Drosophila melanogaster: one gene and its partners. Changing the gene in region 1 together with any one later gene gives a genetic interaction. Each region holds a gene or a part of one and is shown on either strand. Other genes may lie near its edges.

Evidence for each region. Genes that interact genetically often act in the same process or in processes that back each other up.
Region 2: of E(bx) (region 1) and EcR, changing one enhances a phenotype caused by changing the other (phenotypic enhancement), as found in Drosophila melanogaster (one study listed by BioGRID).
Region 3: of E(bx) (region 1) and hop, changing one enhances a phenotype caused by changing the other (phenotypic enhancement), as found in Drosophila melanogaster (2 studies listed by BioGRID).

Annotation. Positions count from the first base shown.
Region 1 is NT_037436.4:243,912-248,926, reverse strand, and holds the start of E(bx) (enhancer of bithorax), read left to right. Parts: upstream 1-2,014; 5' UTR 2,015-2,544; intron 2,545-2,603; 5' UTR 2,604-2,710; coding exon 2,711-2,999; intron 3,000-3,451; coding exon 3,452-5,015. Other genes in the region: mthl14 (methuselah-like 14), read right to left, coding at 1-8, 62-251, 306-725, 811-926. UniProt on the Drosophila melanogaster protein: Histone-binding component of NURF (nucleosome remodeling factor), a complex which catalyzes ATP-dependent nucleosome sliding and facilitates transcription of chromatin.
Region 2 is NT_033778.4:6,128,801-6,133,664, reverse strand, and holds the start of EcR (ecdysone receptor), read left to right. Parts: upstream 1-1,823; 5' UTR 1,824-2,547; coding exon of another isoform or gene 2,548-2,599; intron 2,600-4,864. UniProt on the Drosophila melanogaster protein: Receptor for ecdysone. Binds to ecdysone response elements (ECRES) following ecdysone-binding, and recruitment of a complex containing the histone methyltransferase trr, leads to activate transcription of target genes.
Region 3 is NC_004354.4:11,362,058-11,369,683, reverse strand, and holds the start of hop (hopscotch), read left to right. Parts: upstream 1-1,585; 5' UTR 1,586-2,221; coding exon 2,222-3,283; intron 3,284-3,553; coding exon 3,554-3,714; intron 3,715-4,444; coding exon 4,445-4,651; intron 4,652-4,880; coding exon 4,881-5,200; intron 5,201-5,260; coding exon 5,261-5,723; intron 5,724-5,837; coding exon 5,838-6,187; intron 6,188-6,255; coding exon 6,256-6,692; intron 6,693-7,197; coding exon 7,198-7,376; intron 7,377-7,448; coding exon 7,449-7,613; intron 7,614-7,626. Other genes in the region: Tim8, read right to left, coding at 804-980, 1,059-1,148. UniProt on the Drosophila melanogaster protein: Tyrosine kinase of the non-receptor type, phosphorylates the marelle protein. Required maternally for the establishment of the normal array of embryonic segments: involved in the control of pair-rule gene transcription in a stripe-specific manner.

The sequences.
Region 1 (5,015 bases):
AAAACGACCTGAAATAATATTCATCCGTTGGTAAATAGAAAATAATGTTACATTGACTTACTTTTGCGAAGGCAATTTGTTCTTCCACTTGGGTTACACATGTAAAGGCAAACAAGTGTCCTGACTTATCAATATCCAAGCAATAATGTTCCTTCACAGTGTATGATTCGTTGCCAAATTTGTCGATGATTAATAACGAACCGTCTTGCAGAACAAAGAAAACATCGTCTTTGTCGTCGTACAAAAGAGAACTAATTTTGCAGAAGAATTTGTACTTTGATTCAATTTAACATTCGCTTTCATACCTGTTGCACGGATTTCCAATGTCGTAGTCGAGCGTAGTCTCAACCTCCAAATCTTCAATGCAGTTATCGAACAGAACTGCACTTATTATAGTCGGTTCGAAGCTTAAGAGCCCGTTGTCGCACATCGAATCGCTTTGATTTTCCCGATATATATTTAAGTTTTCTCCATGTGGGCAGCATTTTCTTAAACGAGACGATGGTGTTGCAACTGGTTGCTTTCTGTACTTTTCCCGTTGAGAACAGTCCGCCGGATCTAACGGGTTGTCTACAGGACTTTGAACAGGAACAGAGGTTGCGAACCTAGCACCTGATATTGTTGCAGCTTCTGTCGAATATGTTTGAGGTACAACCAGTGTTGAATGTATTGAGGCGTCCAGAACGTCAATCGAAGTGCTATTGAATGTGTCTTCATGGAAAATACTAAGCAAAGCAAAATATATTATAGAAAATGCAAAGATTCCAAAATTAGTATTTTTCGAAAACAAATATTTTGAGTATTTCTTACTTTGAGTTGTTTGATCCCTTCGAACTGTTATTTACAGTGCTTATCTGTGCGGAGGCGTTAAAAAACGTTTGTAAACTGATTAGAGCTAGGAGAAAATTCCAGTGGCCTAGATTCATATTGCCTTTTCAACCAATCTACAAAAAATATATAGCATAAAATGAATAAAACAAAATTGCCGAGTTCGTTTACACAGAAAGTATGTAAACAAACCAAATTTTGACATTAGTTAGGTGGTGTGGGAACTGGTAAGATATGGGCTATCTTATCTGTGTAAGATACCAGTAGAGTGCGTTATCATAATATAACACATGACGTCAGACGAATGTGGTAGCACATTCCTTAGAATTGATCAATACTCGGAAAATTACACTCATCAACTTATACAAAACCGCGTTAAATGTCAATTTTTGCGCACTGATTATTTGATTAGATCATATTTTATTCAATTATTGTATTTTTAAAAATAAACTATTTATGGCAATTATTGTTTACGTACATGTCAAATAATTTATGCTTGCTATTTAAAATGCAACCACTGAGCTTGATTAATAAAGTAATACTAGCGAAAAAGAAGTTTTAATTCTGCAATGGAATCACTTTGTGCAGGCGATAAGATAACGATGTTTTCAGGGCTTCAAAGCAAATTGTTTACCCTAATTTCTTTAACAATAACACATTTCTCAACAAACACAATTAAAATACTTTAATTTAGTATTTTTAGAATAATTTTTTAAAAAATTTAAGTAATAATAATATAAAAACCTTTCCCAGTAAACAAAAAATCGTAACGGCAACTTATTATCGATAACATTTTTAATGGATTTTTCGTGGTCGGCAATTTACGAAATGAGATCACCAGGATTTAAAATGCGAAATTGGGTAGAATGTAATACACTAAAATAAATTTACAAAAAAATACATTTTTTTTACCGCATCAAAAATACCGTTTTAATTTTTAAGATAGTGAGCAAAGGTAAGTTTATTTTGATTACAAGTTAACGGGTTTTCTTTAAACGCCCGCTCAACACGTCGATAAAAATAAAAATACATCTGTCAGTGCGGTTCAGCGTAAATGCCAAAAGCAACCCTGCCTATATCGTTTGTGCAACCATAAAGAATTAGTTCTCCAAGCCGACCGCAAGAGGACGCTTCTGACTTCACGCAATAGAAGAGTCGCTGTGATTGGCCGACTGTACACCGTCTTTAGCTATGTTCAAAACTGTAATGTTAGGTAAAAGTCTCTTTCGCAGTGTGCTGAAGATAGTTAAAAATATTAGAATATATCGTGTTAAATCCTGTGCAATTATTCCGCAACATGCTGGGTAATTTGCGCAGTTAATCCATGTGTTAATTGTGAAAGAAGAGTGACATTTAAACAGACGCAAAAATTTTCACGGTTGCTTAAATGGCGGACAATGTGCGTTGGCTTCATTTCATCGCACTCGCACACATACAATCGAACTTGGTGGTGCTGTCCAGTGCGTTTGCCGTCCAACACTAGAAGCCAAGAATGTGTTTTGAATACATGTACTTAATGTATTTAATCGGAACCGTTATTCTGAACTAAACAAGCTCTTTTGGCGGGTTTTTTTCAACTCCAAATTTGCGCAATACAAAGAAAGTGAACACCCAACGACAAACTTTTGACGATCTGATCGATTTTTCCCCCACATACGCTGTTGAGTAAATGTGTGTTTGAATGTGCCCCGTAAATACATAGCTAGCTGAGTGCGAGTGAGATGCGGTGTGCGTTCCTGTGGCACCGTGTACTAATGGGTTAATTTTCGTTTCAGATCTAATGTGCAGCCTCGCAGCATTAACTTGGAACAATATCTGAGGAGAGTACCCCCACGCACCCCTGCACACAGCCAGATAAATACGCAAGGCGAAAACAAACAAGATGAGCGGTCGCGGCAGCCGTAAACGTGGACGTCCGCCAAAGACGCCCAACGAACGCGCATCAGGACGCTTCAATTACCAGCTTCTCAAGAAGCCGAAGTATCTCAGCGAGGGAAAGTCGCAGCCCAGCACTCCGTCGGCATCCAGGGGCATTTCTCCACAGAGCGACGAGGGCAGCAGGAGCAGCCACAACAACCACACCAATCGCAGTCGCGGGAGCGCCGCTAAGAGGGGACGAGGCCGCAAATCCGCCGTGCAACCGAACACCAGTAGCTACTCTGGAAGGAAAGGTGGGTTAAAGGGGCACCTAAACTCTAACTTGGGAGTCAAGACTTACAGTTTCGCTCTGACTAGTTCGAAGATTAATAGGGAACATAATGTGCCATATATTGATTGCAGTGGAGAAAACTTTGATCGTTTTGAATGGTACTCATACTTCAAACGAGTTTTCCTGTGCGTTAAAGAGCTTCCGCTTCATAAAAGATCAAATTTAATATTTTCGTGACAACCACTACCGGGCGAGTCAGTTTCGATAGGTCTATCTGCTCTAATACCAACGATTATTTTTGAAATCTTACGACAAAAAATCTTTCAGTCTAGTTGGCATGAGTTTAATAACAATTACTTAAATACAATTCAGTAGAAATTGGGTCCACAATAGCAGTGACAGTATGTCAGGTTTTATGCACTTAGGTGTTGGTGAAATCATATTGGTTCTAAGAGCTACTGTTCCTCTTTTCAGGGTACGAGTCGGAGTATCACTACGGGTCAGATTTTGGGGATTCCGAAGAAGATAAATCCGATAATGAGGATGATATGCTGCTTACTCCCAGCGACGACGAGAGCCTAGAAGTAGCCAACGAGAGCGAATCAGAGTTTTCCGTGTGCAGCTTTAACCAAAATGGAGTTGGTCGGCCGCCACGTCCTCCTAGCCCAGAACCTGTGTGGCTGCAGGAAGGTCGTCAGTATGCAGCGCTTGATTTGCCGGACTCGTCGGAGGATCTTTTCATTGCTAATACACACGTTTTGCGCGCGCTAAGTATCTATGAAGTACTGCGACGATTTCGCCACATGGTCCGCCTTTCACCATTCCGATTTGAAGACTTGTGTGCAGCGCTGGCTTGTGAGGAGCAAAGTGCATTATTGACGGAGGTACACATAATGCTGCTTAAAGCGATTCTTCGAGAAGAGGACGCGCAGGGTACACATTTTGGCCCGCTGGATCAAAAAGATACGGTTAATATAAGTCTTTACCTGATTGACTCTATAACGTGGCCGGAAGTTTTGCGAAGCTATGTAGAAAGCGATAAGACATTTGATCGCAACGTGTTTCACATTTTAAGCCACACTGAATACCCTTACACGGGCATTGACAACCGGCTTGAAGTGCTCCAGTTTCTGTCAGATCAATTTTTAACTTCCAATTCTATACGAGATGTAATGCTGCAGGAGGGACCTATTCATTATGATGACCATTGCCGAGTGTGCCATCGGCTCGGTGATTTATTATGTTGCGAGACGTGCCCTGCTGTCTATCATTTGGAATGTGTAGACCCGCCAATGAATGACGTACCTACTGAGGATTGGCAGTGCGGGCTTTGCCGCTCGCATAAGGTAAGTGGCGTAGTGGACTGCGTGTTGCCACAAGAAAAACAAGGCGTGCTAATCCGGCATGATAGCCTCGGTGTTGATCGTCATGGGCGCAAATATTGGTTTATTGCACGTCGCATTTTTATCGAGGATCAGGAGAACTTTACATGCTGGTATTACAGTACGACAAGTAAGTTAAAATTGCTGCTCAGTCGACTGGACGCCGAAGAACTGGAAACTCGTCTGCATAGCCAGATTACAGAAAGGAGAGACGAAATCGAGCGCCAAATGAAACTGACTGAGACCTTAACCAATGAACACAAACACACGAAGCGTAGTGTTATCGAAATCGAACAAGAGGCTAAAAATGAACTTTTGGAGAAAGAGGTGCTTGACGAGGATGAAAAAGATGGTGATGCTAAATCTGAGAGTCAATCTATAGAGGGAACAAAAAAACAAGAAGAATGTAAAATGGTCACGCGTCAAAAATCCAATCAGCTGACTAATGGTACTTTGCATTTTAAACTTGGCATGGAGCAAGGATTTAAGAACTATGTCAACCAGTATTCAACAAATCCAATTGCACTCAACAAGCCGCAACGAAACGAGGAGCGAGATAAGCGACGCCATCTGTCCCATAAGTTCTCGTTAACGACGGCTTCTGACTTTAAATGGATCGGTATAACCATGGGAACTACTGACAATATGATAACAAC
Region 2 (4,864 bases), on another chromosome or scaffold:
ATACATGTTGCACCCATACTCTAAGCAATTGCTCCAGTGTACTACTGAACTGAGAGTCGTTTGGCAGTCGGCCAAGAGGGAAAAGGATAGTGGAGGAGAGGGGAACGAGACGTGTGGAGGAGTGGAGAATGTGGGGAAGGACGAAAGAGAAGAAAATCATCATAGACGCAGTTATGGGTTGCAGCTGTGTTTGTATTGGTATACCCAAACAAATAGAAGTAGAGAAACATAGGAAGAGATAGAGAGAGGCAAAGTCTCTTTCACGCCCCCGACACCAAGCCGCTGCCGTCCCCACTACTCAGCTGTCATTGTTGATATTTTGTGTTTTCATCTTGAACTTTTGTGGTTCAATGTGTCTAGCCAACCCCAAACAGAGCGAAACTCACCACATGCTAACCACTGTCACCGTCAGTACGACCACCCCCACAGTCCCGCACCACCTTGCCCTTGCATTTTGCCGGCTTTTCTATGCGTATGCGTAGAGAGCGAGGTCGTCTCTCTCGCTCTGGCAAATGCAATTCTCTATTGCATTCTACACTTGAACTTGCCCAGCGTCAACTCAACGCACACAGCGACGTTAAGTAAATACGTAGCGATTCGAATGATGGGGCTGGTGGTGGGGGGAAGGGATGGGCAAACAATTATCTGCAGCGATGTGTGCGTATCTGTATCTGAGTATCTCAGCTCGCTTTGCGCTGACTTTTTAACCACAATGTATTCGAAACGTGCAATTTATACGTCGCCCAGCAGACGGCGGTGATACGTGTATGTGTATGTATACATACGTACATACTCATAGATACTGTTGTGGCTGTTAGTTTGATCTGCGTTCTGTTTACCCTCCTGGTGATCTTTTTCCTTTCCGTCAATTACGTCTCGTAGTGTCAATATTCTGCTTCAAACAGCGGTGTCTACTGACTTCAGGTGGATTTCCCTTCCAACGAATGGAAAACAGTCCTTCGGAGGACTCTCTATGGTTTTCTAACTCGATCTTATTTATTATTCATTCAGCTGACGTGAGAAAGTATTTTTGGCCACATGAAACGTTTTCATTGTTTTCTTGTTGAGATATTTGCTACATATATGTATTCAAATAATAAAGTTTAAAGGGACACTGAAAAATGCAATTGATGTTAGAGATTATTGAAAATAAAACTTGGAATGTATCGAAAAGGTGAAGTAGAGAGACTGTAATTTAAGCTAAATATTTCAACTTATCCTACTTTTAATTATTGCAAGTTGTGGCACTCCTTCCGATTTATTATGGACCCTTTCGTCCCACTATGCGAGAATATTTCAAATGTACGTACATACGTGTGAATTTGCACTTGTGCACCCGAAAGTAGCGATGAACGAAAACGAACGAAAAAAAAAAACAATAAATAAATGTAGAAAACCGAAAATAAAGCAGCAAGAAATGAAAGCGATGATGGCACTCATACTCACGCATACACGGCCATATACGCTCGCACACAACTCACAGATACGTGCCGGAGAGCGGACAAAGAGTATTCCACGATTGCAATTGCATCGGCATTTTCATTCAAGCCGCTTGCTCAGAGTGTGTGTCTGTGGCTGTGTGAGTGAGTGCTGCCTGCGTTTCACATTTATCTTTAGCGCCGATTCCGCTTTTAACTCTCGCTCTTTTAGCGCCATGGTGTGCGTGTCTGGTGAGTTTACTTTGGTGTGCGTGCCAGTGTGGTGAGTTTGAGCGTTTAACATTCTGCTCGTCTCGCTCATTGATTTAGTATTTTTTTGGACTTTGTTGTTAACGGTTGTTCGCTCGCACGTACGAAGCCCGATCGCGTTCGTCAAAAAACAAGATACAAAATACAGCACACACAATTGAAAACGACAACCTAACAGTACGGTTTCCCAAAGCACCTTACATTTCAAAACCGAAAACCCCCAAAATGTTGTAACCAAATAATGTTTAAATCACATATACACCTACATATATTTATGAAAAATTGTTAGACAAATCCCAAATAATACCAGTTCCCCCAACAACCGCAACAAACACAAGTGCAATTCATCGGCAAAAATTAATATAAAGTGCAAATGCATTGTAGCTGAAACTCAAACAATAGTAAAAATACATACATAAGTGGTGAAGAAGCAAAAGGAAATAGTTCTTAAAATAACGCAAATCGAGAGCATATATTCATATTTGTACAGATATTATATGGCGGCTGCATAGTGCAAACTGCGGCTGAGGGAATACAGCGGTATCGAAATGTAAATAGGAAACAACGAAGCCAGAACTCGAAATCAAACATCAGCAACGTGACACACAGACATAAGACGCCCGTCTAGTCGTGGTCTGTGGAACGCTAGCTCCGCTTTGCCAGGAGCCGGAGACTTTTTCCGCATCCACAATATTACATATGTACATATATCGAAGATAGTGCGCGAGTGAGTGAGGGATTTGTGCCGTGGATCCCGATCCCCTTACATATATATAAAGGTAGTGAAAAGATTTTACTCAACATTCCAAATAGTGCTTTGTCAACTGGAATACCTTTTGTTCAAATACGCAGTGGGCCCATGGATACTTGTGGATTAGTAGCAGAACTGGCGCACTATATCGACGCATATGGTGAGTGTGGGCACCTTGGAATCCAATAGAACCAAGCGCTTTTCCATAACAACATTTTGTGGTCAACTGCTTAACGAAAGATCTGAGTTAGGCAACAAGTTCGCTGTTCGGAGCCGAAAACTATTTTCGATTTGTTCAGGCCCTAATGTGTTTGTCTTGGCGCACTTGTCACTTCGCGTGCGCAAAATCAATTTCCATTTCTTATTCATCCAGCCGAAATGAAAACTACATTACCATTAGATCTTTTCAATGCCAAGATACACAGATCATATGTTCGCATAGCTGAATACATGCTGTACATACAGACATTATGATGTCCCAAAAAGATACACATGCTTGGGATGGGGGTTCGATTGGCAATACATTAATTATGGTCATGACAACTGACAGACGGTCAAGACAGAACGTTGAAAATTGTGTATTTCGCCTGCGTAAACATAATCAAGCCTCTTTCGGGCCACCATAGATCCCCGGTGTAGACGAATATGTGCATGTCGGTCTAGGAAAGCACTCGACTGCGTAATTGGCATGTATTTCCATAAATTCAAGTGGGCATTCAGTGAATTCAGCCAACAGATTTACTCTGATTTTCACATATATTCTGTTGATAAGGTTTAATTCGGTGTAAAACGTATTCGATTTATTAAGTGCCGAAAGAACGCTCAAAAATGATTCGATACAGATTGGGCACTTGAATCGTGTTGGAGAAGGTAAAATTGTGGAACATGTAAATGCTGTTCGTCTGAAGAGACTTCACTTTTTGGATCCAATGACTTCAATTGTTAAATGTTCAATTCTACAATAAATGTGTAGTATTTATTTATCTTATTTTTGGTATATTGTTTAATAGGTACTGCGATATATTATTATACATTATAAGGCGAGTCCTCTTGTGCGCTTGGGCTTCCCTATTTTAAAGCGCCTAATGAGGCATTAGGTAACAGCATTAGGTTTGCGCTTAGGTTCCAGTAAAGTCCCCAACATTAGTTTGACTCTCCCACAATTAATTTGTTCCATCCCCCCGACGACACAGACTTACCGCCACCCGTTGGCCTTCGTTTCCTGGGCGGGTCTGGTTAAACTTTCGACTTCATGGCTCTGTTTTTTGATACCCTTTACTCACACAGCATTTAAGTTCTAACGATGACTGAGCTGTGCAAGTTTATTTTTAGTCTCGGCCAAGTCCAATCTAAAGCTCCTAGAAATTCGAATAAGCTCAAAAGCCCTAAGCTGGGTTTTTAAATGAAATTCCTCTACAGGATGCACATAATTCAGAATTGTAGATTTAGTTTTAAACGTGCTAGCGGGTATCTTTTAGTCGAAGCACTCGACTAAAGATTCTCTTTTCCAACTGCTTTTTGCACATTAAGTTTTTCGCTATTTCTTCTTTGCTACACTTTCTGGACACAAACAAAGAGCACAAAAAAAGTAACTTATATCCTATGGCGTCGACAACTTCGTCTTCGCTGCTGTTGTTTATGTTTTATGGGACATTAAAGTGGCCAAATGGCAAATTTTAATGCGATTTTATGCAAATATATAGACACATGTATGTCTATACATGGGATTCAGTGTTGTGGCTTCGCCCAGGCTGAGAAAACCGAGTTACCAGTGCTTTTATGTCGAACCCTCTATGCATTTTTACAATAGTTTGGGGTTCTTAGCTAAATGACTTTGACATGAAGAAATTATACAAGCAAATGGAAACGATCAAAAGATCTGCTTAGTGTTCTGAAAGTCCTACCACAGACATAACAACAATTATGACTACCAAATCCGCACGAATTAAAATGACCCTGGATAATCGAAATACCTTATTTTATATCACAACTGTTTCCAAAGTGTCACACACAACCCCCCTTTAAAAAGGTTCAATGTAACCGCGTCTGGGGGCGACGATACTAATGGGTGCAGACCAGTGGGTCACGAGACAGAACACCACTCCGTTCTTCATCCCCTGGATGGAAATGGGGAACGGGAATGGCAGAAATGGCAAACAGGTGCCATTGTATGTGCTCTTGTATCAATTGCATTGAGTGCCTTATCTTGTCAGCCTTTTCTAGCTGGTTTTCCTTCCCGTTCGGTCTGGATGGACCTAATTTGTGTATGTGCGGTTAAGAGTAGCCTGCCATAAAGCAATCGAGCTTGGAATGAGTTGTGCCTTCTCCCCGACGCTCTTGTGGACTTTCACAGACCAGCAACAAAGTCGAGCTGCCAACACTTTCGCAGACAATCGCCAATGACAGAGAGTTTCCATGACTTTCC
Region 3 (7,626 bases), on another chromosome or scaffold:
ACTAGTTCTAGTTGGGATCAGTGTGACCAGAGGCGCGCTGCGTGTGCAGCCCAATCAGAAGTCCTGGGCAAACGTTCAAAGCGAGCGCGGGAAATAGGTCCGCAAGCATTGCAAGTATTACCTTTGGATTTAGCAGAAATGCATTAATATTACATTTAGTATTACATTTTATACAGGAAATGGCAGCTACATTTGTGTGTTCAAAGTTGCGTAAATATGAATTCCAATTGGAAAGTTGCCGATAGGTACTTATCGAGTGGAAGCACTATACTATCGATATGGAATAACTTTATTTATTCTAATAAACATTTAAGGAACACCTACTATTTCATTCTAAGCCCCTTTCCAGCCTAATTAAATTTAAATGTATGTTGAAATGATCCAATTTCAATTCTATTTTCCTTTCTGCATAATATTAAGCCATCTATCAACAATATTTCATCATTATAAAAGAAGAGATTAAAACTATCCAAGCAAAGGATTACAACACAATGCATTTTAAACGTACGAAACGAAAGATGTATTTATTTTCGGTACGCTAACGTAGGGCCGACCAAACAATTGAGTTGCGCTACCGAATTAAATATTAATTCCGGAACTCGAATCACGGATTTCAATTTCGGGCTGGGTGCAGACTACGGGCCACATACTTTGGATGTCGGCGGCGAAACGCAGCGCGGAAAAAAATGTGCTTACATGATAATTTTTTGTTTAAAAATAGATTTAACAGTAGGACAGTGACGGAAGCGTCCACGGACTCGGATACCCAGATCCCGGTGTCGGTGTCGATTAAGCGAACAAATCTACAGGTCGCCGCCACCTCGCTTTTGGAGCATCTGAGCGAACCGCTGGGTGATAAGCAGCGACGTGTCGATGAATCGGTCGACGCAGTTGCTCAGGCACGTCTCGGTGGCGTGGTCCAGCTTGGTACTCGGCTTGCCGATGCACTTCTCCCAGCAGATCTCGTTGAACTCGTGTATCTGGCGACGATATAATGTGCGAGGGCATATTGTTATGATTACGAATGGTTATTATGTGTATGGGGGAACCCGGCTCACCTGCGCGTTGACCTGTGCCTTCTGTTTCTCAATCAAGAGGAACTCCTGCAGCTCCTTGTCATTGCCGGAAAGGTTCTCAAAATCGGACATCGTGTGATTTTCAGTGAGCAATCTACAAATTGACCGGGCTCGTCCGGAATTTCATATATTCTAAGGTTTGAGGTTATATAAACGACACTGACAGCTGTGAACTGTGGAATTACAAAAATCGATGTGTATTCGATAGCAAAGCTATTCGATACTGGAAATGCCGTGCATATTGCACTGTTTGCACTGTTGTCATATTTAAATGGCAAGAATATAGACGCCATAGAGCAAATAACAGTATATTTTTTTTTCTTAAGCATCCTCCTCCTGCCAACGAGGGTATACAATTTTCAAGAATACATTTCTAAAGTAAGTTGTTATTTATATTTACTGAGAACTATCGAAAAAGAACTAGAACCTCGCGTTGCCAACCACTGGTTCGCAAGGTGCGATAGTACAGGTTATTGGACAATCGATGACAAAGTGGCTCGGCCGTCGGCCAATCGATATCGTGAGGTGCAAATTGTCCGATGAATTTCACTGAAATTCGTGGCTTGTATTGTAGCTTCGCAATTGCAGCTTCGTTTCGACAGCAGGCCCACTTTCAGATCGAAGGCGTCTATAATCGCCATCCAGTCCCGTCGCCCTGTTCCCACAACGCCCCACAAATTTCGGGATCTAGCTGGCGTTTCGGGTGTCTAATTTCGGACCAGTGCACTGTGATTTCCGATTTCCAGTTTACTTTGCTGACGGATCGCCCAAGTGGCGAAGTGGTTCTTGCTCGGAAAGTTGGCGCTTGCTAAAAGAAGGAGCAGTCCAGGTGGTTCCCCGCCAGTGGCATCAATGGAACTCGCGCTGGAGTTTGGGGCAACCTTGCAACTGCAAGGGTAAGAGCATCGCCGATTCCAGGAGCATTCGCAGTAAGCCCAAAAATAGCAACTCAAGTCAGTCGCGGTGGTCATTGTTATTGGCAAGAAGAAGAGGAAACGGATAGAACGCGGCAAATTCCTAGGAAAGCTCCCATGATCTAGCTTCAGTGCGGCCGCGTAAGGAAACTGCTCCAGCCAAGGAACTGGGCTTGCAGGAGCAGCAGATAGCACCCAGCCCACAAGGGACCACTCACCGACAATCCTCTCATGGCCCTGGCCAACGGGGGAGAGGATAGAATGGACGACAGCAGCAGCGGACGCACTTCGCTGGCGGACAGCGCCAGCCTGACGAACTCCTCGCTGCGCAGCGGCACCTCCTCGCAGAGCATCCACACCAACGATGGCACAATCCGTGTGTTCAACTTCACCACCGGCGAATTTGAGCGTTTCCATCCCAACATGCTGTGCGAGGAGATCTGCAATACGATGTGCCGCCAGCTGGGCATTGCACCAATTGCCCAGCTGCTCTACGGAATACGGGAGCACTCGACATCGCGACGTCCCTCGCCGCTGGTGCGTTTGGATCTGACGTGGTGCCTGCCCGGCGAGCGACTCAACTGCCAGCTGGTCTATTGCTTTCGGATGCGTTTCCGTGTGCCCGAATTGGATAGCCAGCTGGAGTTGATCGATGGACGGAGCCACAAGTTCCTCTACCGCCAAATGCGCTACGATATGCGGACCGAGCAAATCCCGGAGATTCGCTATCCGGAGCACAAGGACAAATCAACGGGACTGGCCGTGATGGATATGCTAATCGACGATCAGGAACAGTCGGAGGATCAGCAGGCGATGCGCTCCATCGAGAAGCTTTACAAACTGTATTTGCCACCGAGCTTGTGGCGCGCCCACAGCTTCTTTGTGGGCTCCAAGATACGTGAGGTTTTCCGCAGTCTAAAAGCGAATTCGCTGAGTGTGGAGCGTTTGAAGTGGCACTATGTGCATCAGGTATCCCATTTGGCGCCCACCTATATGACCGAACAGTTCACCTGCACCGTTCAGTATCTGCCCAACGAGGAGGTGGCCCGCGGTAGCGGACCCATCGGCACCAGTCTGGCCCACTCGACGTCGACGCTGGCCAGTTCTGGATCGACCAACACTCTGTCCACGCTCACCACCAACACCAATTCCGTTGCACTCGGCGGCAGTGGCAAGAAGGCCAAACGACGTTCCACCAGCGGTGGAATCGATGTCTATGTGCGAGTCTTTCCACACGATTCCCTGGAGCCTGGACTCAAGGTGGCCAGGGTCACCTCCGAGGCCACACTCAAGGTACACACTATGTTTCCTTCTGAAATCTTATATGGTTTCTTGTGGTTTTCCCATCGAAATGCGCATTTTAATGCTGGCCATTTTAAATATGGAAATACCATTAATATTATAATATTTAAAAAACATTTTGATAGATTTCTCAATTTAATTAACGCGATTGTCTTGGTAATCAAGTTGCTTATCGCTGGCAAAGATTCTTGAAATATTCATACATACATACCATATGTAATTGCACTAGCATCCCATTGATAATCCTCATTTCCTCTGCAGTGGATCCTTGTTGGCGCCGTGGAAGGAATTTTTATGATCTCCAAAATCAACGACACCTCTGTGCGGCTGGAAATCGTTGGTCTGCCCAAGGGCTACGAGATGCAGTTTCAGACGGAGAAGGAGATGAAGTCCTTCATCTCCTACCTGGGTATCTACATCAGGTGAGTGGTTCACTTGTAATCGGTGAGCTTTAGATCCCAAAGAGTTCGCTTCCAACTAAATTTTAATCTTTTAAGCCGAACTTGCTTGGTCTTTTTTTCACCAGAATTTATAGGCATCTCATTGTAGTGTTCGTGTAACAATAATCAGTGCCCAATGTTCTTAATCAAACTACTCAATTGTTTTTTTTAACATCCATTGATTTAAAAAAAAAAACATCAAGTCATCAATTCCACGAACTCATTTAATAACATAATAATTCCACTTAAAAGTTAATGATTCCCACATAAATATGACATTTGATAACACGATTAAATACAGTGCTTGAAATGCTTGCTTTTTTGTTTAAAGAGTTTGTTAAAACCAAGTCCCTGTTTGTTTTGTAATCCAACACACAAAGTCGGTTTTCGTTATCAGGCTAAAATTAAAACAAGCAAGAAATTTAAAACTAAATGCTTTCAGAAGATTTCTTCAGTTAAATTGATTAAATAATTACGCACTAATCGGTTTTAAATGTTACATTGCTATTTATATCGCCTGCGTCAATGTGCAGTACTTCTCAATAACTCAATAAAGTTATATGTACGTAATTGAAACAATTGATTCCCAGCTATAGAATCACTTTTCAAATGCAATAATAATAATAATAATAATAATAATAACAATGCCAATGGACAGCAACAAATGTGCGCAACTTATAACTCGTATTTGCCATCCGTTTATTCCTTGCAGATTGTCGAGCAAATGGATGCAGGATCTGTGCCATTCGTACCGCACGCCCTCCCTGGAGGAGCTGAGCTCCCTCCACTGCCATGGTCCAATCGGCGGTGCCTACTCGCTGATGAAGCTGCACGAGAACGGTGACAAGTGCGGCAGCTATATTGTGCGTGAATGCGATCGAGAATACAACATATACTACATCGATATCAACACCAAAATGTGAGTACATGCGCGCCTTCACACAGTTATCAGTTACTTCCTCCTCGCTGGTTATCAGGCTTACAAACATTTCTGTATGCAATGCCACATGATACACAAAAATGCTGTGTGCGCTATGTGGCCAATTGTTTCGCTTACTGATGATTGCCTGTGTGTGTGTGTGATTGATGATGCCCAAATTAGATGTGATCGGTTTTATCTCATGCGAAAATCCCGCTCACCTTTGCAGCATGGCCAAGAAAACCGATCAGGAACGCTGCAAGACGGAGACATTTAGGATCGTGCGCAAGGACTCGCAATGGAAGCTAAGCTACAACAACGGCGAGCATGTACTAAACTCACTGCACGAAGTGGCGCACATCATTCAAGCGGATAGTCCCGATCGCTATCGCATACCCGCCTCCAAATATGACAAGCCGCCGCTGCTGCTACTGCTGCTGCCAAAGAACCTCAAGGCCAAAAAGACTGACCTCCAGCTGAGCGAGGCGGAGCTGCAGCGCCGCAATCCGCAGATCTTCAATCCCCGAACGGATCTGCAGTGGTATCCAGGTGGGTCATACTATATATTCTAATGCCTTGCTTCGTTCTAATCGCTCGTCTTTTGCGCAGATTCGATATCGCTTAGCGACGATGGCATGATGTTTACGATGCGCGGCGATTGGATCCAACAGAGTCCCGTCAAGGATGTGTCCGTGACGATGAAAATGCTAAAGAGCGATGGCAATTTCATGGAGTTCTTTCGCTTGGCACAGACCTGGAGCCTCATCCAGTCGCCGCAGTTCCTCAAGCTGTACGGCCTAACGCTCGCCGATCCGTACACAATGGTCATGGAGTATTCGCGGTATGGTCCGCTCAATAAGTTCCTGCACTCGATGCCCAATGTAACACTGCATTGTCTACTGGATCTGATGCATGGATTGGTGCGCGGCATGCACTATTTGGAGGACAACAAGATTATCCACAATTACATACGATGCAGTAATCTGTACGTGACCAAGTACGATCCGAATTCGTACGTGCTAGACGCGAAAATTAGCGATCCCGGCTATCCGCGTCCCTACCGAGAATCCGAGTGAGTAGCCGACAAATACAACTTAATCATCTTCTCGGTTGGGTCATACTCTTTGATAAAACAAAAAAAAAGCAAACAGCATTTTAAATAACATCATTCATTCTCCACTTTCAGCTCGCCATGGATACCTGTTAAGTATTATCGCAATTTGCAAGCAGCCAAAACGGATCAGTTTGCCCAGCTGTGGGCCTTCGCTACCACCATATACGAGATCTTCTCGCGCTGCAAGGAAGATCTGAGCACACTGCGCCAGGAGCAGCTACTCAGGCAGAAAAATCTCGATGGCAACATACTCAAGATGCTCGATCAGGACATCTGTCCGGCGCCGATATTCGAGACAATCATGGATGGATGGTCCGATGATGAGACCAAGCGCTTCAGTCACCACGACATTTTCTCGCGTCTCAACACGATCAAGGCGGAAATTCTGCCCAATTATATGCCGCCACCCGAGATCGCAACGAGTAAGTTGAGCAGACGAAAGCAGCGTTACGAGATTGGCATACATTTCATCTTCTATTTTTTTTTCCAGATGGAACTGGAGACGAGACCGTGATCGATAGAAGCGACATACCCTTTCTACCCTTTCCGCGTTCGAATATGTTGATGGTCATACCGCTGACCAGCGAATGTCGAGTGATCTACAACATGGAGAACATGATCGGGCGCGGTCATTATGGCACTGTCTACAAGGGTCATCTGGAGTTCAACGACAAGGATCAGCCGCGCGAGCAGGTTGCCATCAAGATGCTGAACACCATGCAGGTGTCGACCGATTTTCATCGCGAGATCGGCATCATGCGCACCCTCAGTCATCCGAACATAGTCAAGTTCAAGTATTGGGCTGAGAAGTCGCACTGCATCATTATGGAATATCTGCAATCTGGTTCCTTCGACATTTACCTGCGTTTCACGGCACCCAATCTCAATAATCCACGGCTCGTCAGCTTCGCTTTAGATATTGCAAATGTGAGTGGTTCGAATATGGCTTTAGAACGGAACAAGTTTTCCGGAAAAAAGAGGGAAAACTCAAAGAAAAATCTACAAATATTTTAAGGGTTTTTGCATCATAACTTGGCCAAAAGTGGTCAAATTTCGAAGGGAATGACTGTTTTTAAAAGCTTATGATCCCAATTAACAAATCCTATTTCTTTTTTTTTGAATTTGGTGGATTCAAAATTTTTCCATTTTTTTGAATTTTTTACAAGGGGTAACATCATCAAAATTTGCAAAAAATGGCAAAAAATTAAAAGTTCCCATTTTGAACCCCAATCGATTGGGAATTAAATTACGAGCCAAACGAGGTATAACAATCCATATTTGGGCTACTACTACCCAAGATGTGGCCAAAAAACTGCCCATTTTGGACAAAAAACCACAAAAAAGAACTTTGGTATAGAAAACTCATGTTTACGACTTTAGAAGAGATATTTCCTTTTGATCCAGTACTTAATCCAAATGCTTCTCGTCGCAGGGCATGAAATACTTGTCCGACATGGGACTCATCCACCGCGACCTGGCCGCCCGCAACATTTTGGTGGACCACAACGGCGATGGTGACTGCGTCAAAATCTCAGACTTCGGCCTGGCGCAATTCGCCAATTCCGATGGATATTACTATGCGAAAAGCAAGCGTGATATTCCCATTAGATGGTAAGAAAAAAAGAAGATGGATTGACGGTAGGCCACTATCGCAACTGAATATCTTTGCTTTCCATTGGTCAGGTACTCTCCGGAGGCCATCTCCACCTGCAGATTCTCATCGTATTCGGATGTTTGGAGCTATGGCGTGACGCTCTTCGAAATGTTTTCGCGCGGCGAGGAGCCCAATTTGGTGCCGATCCAGACATCGCAGGAGGATTTCCTCAATCGCCTTCAGAGCGGCGAACGGTGAGTTATCGTG